2 separate regions of the Mus musculus genome follow, and region 2 is reported to be linked to region 1. The links are microRNA targets in miRTarBase. Many come from high-throughput screens and were not tested one by one. Region 1 holds a microRNA gene; the other region holds the end of a gene's coding sequence.

The links. The annotated mature microRNA mmu-miR-486a-5p reads UCCUGUACUGAGCUGCCCCGAG and lies in region 1 at 1,862-1,883, opposite strand. An mRNA with a match to its seed (bases 2 to 7 or 8) in the 3' UTR can be bound and repressed. Matches are read on the target gene's strand: a 7mer-m8 pairs with bases 2 to 8, a 7mer-A1 pairs with bases 2 to 7 and ends in A, and an 8mer does both.
Region 2: miRTarBase lists Aim2 as a target of mmu-miR-486a-5p. Seed matches in the 3' UTR shown: 7mer-m8 at 882-888.

What each region holds. Positions count from the first base shown.
Region 1 is chr8:23,141,470-23,144,469 of GRCm38, reverse strand. Mir486 (microRNA 486) reads right to left here and starts at 1,915; the gene lies at 1,788-1,915. Ank1 (ankyrin 1, erythroid) reads right to left here. Exons shown (of 44, transcript NM_001110783.3): 43 at 2,750-2,874. The coding sequence ends at 2,776. Gm15816 (predicted gene 15816) reads left to right here. Exons shown (of 6, transcript NR_169137.1): 3 at 1,266-1,346. Mir3107 (microRNA 3107) reads left to right here and starts at 1,808; the gene lies at 1,808-1,897.
Region 2 is chr1:173,464,682-173,467,755 of GRCm38, forward strand. It overlaps Aim2 (absent in melanoma 2), which reads left to right. Exons shown (of 9, transcript NM_001013779.2): 9 at 290-1,359. The coding sequence ends at 337. Among named protein-coding and RNA genes, the nearest start is that of Ifi206, 25 kb to the right of the region's middle.

The DNA.
Region 1 (3,000 bases):
TGGGGGAGCCAAGTCTTGAATCTGGACTCCAAGGCTAGTTTTTACACTTGGAACATATAAGATGCTTTTCATTATTCACAGTAGTCCTGGTCTATAAAGTATGAGCGTGGGATTAGCGAATACTGAATCACCGCTCCCAAGGGACATGCAAGGTCATGCTTTCCTCAGCCAGCGACTCCATCAGCATGCTGCGTGTGTATTTCTTTTTGAGGGTGGCACATCGCATGTATGCAGGCCATTCACTCGTGCTCACCCCATTGCCATCAACACAGTGCCTCAGGAAGACTTAGAACTCATCTTCCCCGGACAGACAGAACGTCCACACAAACAGTGAAACAAACGATGAAGAACTTGGAAATGCACTGTGTCGTTAAATAGATTAAAAATAAAGGGCAGCATGAGACCCAGGAAAAGGTGGAGCTGGGGACGGCACATGCCCATCACTTTGTGGTCACCTTTGTCTGTGTGTCTGGGAATGACTGAGCACGGAAGGACTGGGTGCTCATTTTTGGATTTCAAGAAAGGTTTAGGGCGTAGGCAAATCGGAAGAGGAATGACAAGGATCGGCTGGACTGCCTGTGGGGCGGGGGTTGGGGGCAGTGGTGGTGGGGACGGAGCCTGAAGCCCTTTGGTAACTTCTTACTGAGGATGGGCCACTCTTGCTGCTCCACAACCTGGTCAGACCTGGGCAGGAGCCTGCCACTGCACGCTCTTCTGCCCAGTCACTACCCCAGTCACCCACCCTCTGTCTTTTGTTGGCAGAGGCTAAGTACTGTCCAAACCAGGCTGCTCAGAATTCCTGACTCCTAAACTCATGAGGTCTGGTGGCAAATATCCCCCTCCTTCCCTTTCTCCCTTTCTCTCTCTCTGTAGTGTGTATGTGAGAGAGTGTATGTGTGTGTGTATGTAAGTGTGTTGTGCCTGTGTGTGTATGTGTGTGTGTATGTGTGTTGTGTTATGTATTTAGTATGTGTGTTGTGTTGTGTGTGTGTAGTGTGTGTATATGTAGTGTGTGTGTGGTGTGTGTGTGTGTGTGTGTGTGTAAGTGTGTTGTGCCTGTGTGTGTGTATGTGTGTTGTGTTGTGTATTTAGTATGTGTATGTGTGTGTGTTGTGTTGTGTGTGTGTAGTGTGTGTATATGTAGTGTGTTGTGTGTGTGTGTGTGTGTATGTGTGTAGTGTGTGTGTGTGTGGGGGGGTGTTGGGGCAGGGGCATGCCGGGTACAGTAAATTAATGAAACACTCTACTTCTGCCCTGTCCTTCAGCTGCCTTGCCGTTGCTGCCTCCCATTGAGGCCCTGGATAAAGTCTCAGCCAACAAACACAAGTGCAAGTCCGGCTGCCACTGTAAGAAAGATAGGGCTGAAGAAGACATTCTCCCTCCCTCCCTCCTTTAAAAATGACTCGAACCTTTGGGTTGTTTCCCAGCCGGGATCAAGAGCGAGTCTTGGCCTTTAAATCAGCAGACATGCAGGACCCTCCTGGCAGTGCTGGGGTTAACACTGTGACCTCCTTACAGCTGCTGAGGAGTCAGGGCTAATTTTACTCTCCTATCGGGCTCTGCCCAGCCTCATATTGTCCAAGTGCTGAGATATGTTGGGAAGCATCAAGTCAGCACTTCTGCCGGCCCAGGAGGCTGCGCGGGCCCTGCTTTTTGCAGAAGGCAGAAAACCAGTGACTGCCTGCTGCTCGGCTCTGGAGCTGGGCCCTGAGAGTTCAGGGGTGGGGGTGGGTGGGGGAAGGGGCAATAACCCAGTTAGTGCTGTGCATGGGCAGAGGCTGTGATGCTGGCTTGTTCCCCGTTGTCTCCCACCCTGACGCATCCTGTACTGAGCTGCCCCGAGCTGAGCACAGTGAAGGACCTCGGGGCAGCTCAGTACAGGACCCCTCAGGGAGGGCGAGATCAGAGCTGGCTGCTGAGGCTGGCTCTTGGGCACTGCAGCCTGCTGAAGATCTTCGTTGCGTAGCCTGGCCCACCCATCCTTGGCCCCCGCCCTGACGCACACCCCTCACACACTAGTACAGCCGTTAGCCATGAAGACCTTCCTCACTTCCAGGGAAGATTCTACCTATGCCTTGGGTCTGCTAACTTAGTTCCTTCTCAGACATCAAGCGAGCAGCCTTGTTCTCAGAACAGTAATCGAATTAAAGCTATGGCAGGTTAGGACTCCAGTGAGCCTTAAGGTTTATGTCTGGCGTGCTTTCTGACCATGTGTAGTGAGATAGGCTCAGACTGTGTTTTGAGCACTACTTCAAAGCACTATTTTAACATTATACTGGTACAGTCAGGCATGGTGCTGCATGCCTTTAATTCCAGTACAGAGGCAGCTGGATCTCTGTGGGTTCAAGGCCAGCCTGGTCTATTTAGCAAGTTCCAGGACAGCCAGGGCTATATAGAGAGACTCTGTTTATAACTAAATTGCACAGGGACTGAAGGTGTGGCTCAGAATGCCTATCTCTGGTCCCACCCCCCTAACACAGCCAAAAAAGACAAAAGAAAATATAAATAAGCAAAATAAACCCAAGCCCCTGATTTTGTGTACTCTCCAGCAGACTGGTGTCAACAGAGAGGCACAGGTCTGAAGAGGACGTGGAGGGGCAGAGACAGTGGCTAGTTTGAGGAGTGGGATTCTGAGAGTCTGGTTTTAACTCTGAACTGAGCTAGTAGTGCAAGGATGGGGTGGGTTGGGAGCAGCAAGCAGCTACCTCATCAAGGACCATGCCAGCAAGGACGAGAAAGCCACTGTTACCTCCCAAGGGGCTACTTGAGGAGAGGTCACTGCTTGCCCCTTTTCAGGCTGGCCCGCTTCACTATCTGAGCCCCCTTCCTGCCCTCTATCAGGTCCGGCTGGAGTCCACTCCCTCTTAGCTCCACCTGGAGACAGCATCAGAGACAGAAAGTAGGAAATCACACAGGCAGATGAGCAAGCTCGGGCAGGAAGTGAGAAGGGTCAGGACAGAGAGGAGTAGGAGGAGGAGGAGGAGGAGGAGGAGGAGGAGG
Region 2 (3,074 bases), not on the chromosome of region 1:
ACTGATTCTGCTTTCCTCTCTTCCTCACCACTCAACTGTATATATAGAGTTATTAGATGGGGACCTGAGAAGTCTTCATATTTGTCCTTCTTGTGTAGGAGTGTGTGTGTGTTCAGGGCAGATATAGTTCAGGAGAGTTGTCCAAGAGTGACAGAATTAAGAGGAAATATGTGTTAGGTGAGGAGATTTGATGAGAAGAAAGGAATTTTCAGGAGAACACAGTAAGTGAAAGTAGAGGAGAATTAATTAATCAACAATATTTCAGTCTTCATCTTCCTTTCCTACCCAGGTTATTAAGGCTGCAAAGCCAAAAACTGACATGAAAAGTGTGGAGTGAAGTCACCTCATTTGAAAAACCTTTTCCTGAAGAATCCTGATGCTGCTCCTTGAACTAGACTGAACTACCTGAGGATAGCATTTTACAACCTCATCATCATATTGTATTACTTAGAAAAGGACAAATACTCAAAAAACATCTGAAAAATATATGTAAACTTATTATTAATTAAGTTATTAAGACTGCCCAACCTGGGGATCCATCCTATATACAACCACCAAACCCAGACACTATTGCATATGCCAGCAAGATTTTGCTGACAGGATCCTGATATAGCTCTCTCTTGTGAGGCTCTGCCAGTGACTGACAAGTACAGAAGCAGATGCTCACAGTCATCTATTGGATGGAACACAGGGCCCCTAATAAAGGAGCTAGAGAAAGTACCCAAGCAGCAAGTGGTCTGCAACGCTATAGGAGGAACAACAACATGAACTAACCAGTACCCCCCAGAACTGTGTCTCCAGTTGCATATGTAGCAGAAGATGGCCTGGCCGGTCATCAATGGGAGGAGAGGCCCTTGGTCTTGCAAAGATCATATGCCCCAGTACAGGGGAATGCCAGGGCCAGGCAGCAGGAGTGGATGTGGGTGGGTTGGGGAGTGTGTGTGGGGGGTGTTATAGGGGACTTTCGGGATAGCATTTGAAATGTAAATGAAGAAAATATCTAATAAAATTGTTGCTTTGTCTAAGGTTTGAGATATCATTCTTCTCTACATAGACACTGAGGGTATAAGTATGGCGGGATTGCAGATGTGACAGCAGGGCCTTGTCGGAGAGACGCCTGTGGGTGATAGAGAAGATTGGTGATATATAATTTTTTAATTTAAAAATTTTAAATTTCCTTTTGGGGAGGAGGTTACAGGTGGAGGAGGGTGGGTATGATAGTACTAAGAAATCAGTGATATTGGGGTATGTGATGTGAAATTCCCTAGCACTCAATAAAAGAATTATGTTTTTAAAAAGAAAGATTGTTGATAAATAAATAAATATGATTTTACTCATGATTCAGAAAGTTAGAAAAAAGTTTGTGACTGTTCTATTTTTATTACTTATTCCATTTTTGATATCATAATACAATGATACTATTTCCCTCTTTCCTTTCTTCCCCCTAAATCCTCCCATGTACCATTCCTTGCTTTCTTTCAAATACATGGCCTTCTTTTTCATGAATTGTTGCTATAAGCATATATGCATATCTACATATATATATAAATACAACCTGCTCAATCTGTACAATGTTGCTTGTATGTATATTTTCAGGGATGACCATTTGCTATTGAATGATTAATTGCTGTGCTTTTTCCCAGAATAGACTGTTCTTCCAATAAATAATGTTAGGTAATTGCAAAAATCACATTTTTTTTTAGATTCCACCCAGAGAGCTGAGGTTGTAGTACAAGCACATGAGAAAAACCTAAGGAAAGACAAACATCTTCAGAGAGTGAGGAGAAGGAAATATTTCTACCTGGGGCAGGTAGTGCATACTAGACAACTCACAAATTATAATTAAGTTAAAATGTTAGCAAATTAACCAAGATTGAGTTTAGTGGCATGAGAATGGAGATCTTCTGAGAACCTCCACCATAAGGAGAGCTTATGCTCATTTTCAGGTACTTTCCTGGGTGGGCATGAGAAAGTCTGGGCACATGCCTGGGAAAGATGAGCCGCTGAGGGAAAGGCATGAAGGTCTCCCTTGAGGTCCTCATATATGATAAAATTTCTCTAGTGTTGCAGGATATTTAATTACACAGTGAACCTCCAGATTGTGTTGTTTACAAGAAAAAGCTAGGCACAATTGAAGAAAGAATGAGCCAGAGGATGAGAAAGAGCTAGAAGGTTAGAACACATTGCCAAAGTTAGTTTGAAGCCATCAGAGAAATTAAGAAGCTAAGGGAAGCCATATTGAATCAGGCTGGAGAGGAATTTTGAGTTTGGAAGCTAGAAGCTTCCAGGACTAGACCTAGGTTAGTAGACAGAGGCAGTAAGTCTCCAAGATGACTATTACCTCTTGTGAATAAAAGTTACTCTTACACTCTAGGGGAAGAGAAGCAACTCTTACTCTTCATGGCAAAGAGACCTGTTATGGTTTGTATATGCACAGCCCAGGGAGTGGCACTATTAGAAGGTGTGGCCTTCTTGAATTAGGTGTGGCCTCCTTGGAGTAGGTATTTTTAAGACCCTCATCCTAGATGCCTAGAAGCCAGTATTCTGCTAGCAACCTTCAGATGAAGATGTATAACTCTCAACTCCTCCTGCACCATGCCTGCCTGGATGCTGCCAAGCTCTCATCTTGATGATAATGGACTGAACCTCTGAACCTGTAAGCCAGCCCCAATTAAATGTTGTCCTTGTAAGACTTGCATTGGACATGGTGTTTGTTCACACCAGTAAAACCCTAACTAAGACAGGAAGCTTTGAAACAAGGGGAAGGAAAAATTGTTCTGCTTCTGGAGCAAAAGAAGGAATAGGTTCTAGGTATGGAATACTAAATCTTCCAACATGTGGAATTGTGTAGAATTAAGGATGAAACTCCTTCATACTTAGAAACACACATGACTCAGTGTTTGCCAAAGACAATAGATCAATAGAACTGTTGTCAGCTGAACAGATCAATAGAATATCCTCTAGTCACTCTACAATTTTTTTTCTTTTTATGACTCTGCTGAACAACCATCAGCTAACAGCTAACTGCAGACAGCTTCTAGGAGACAGTCATGTAAGTGCCTGTGCTTATTTTC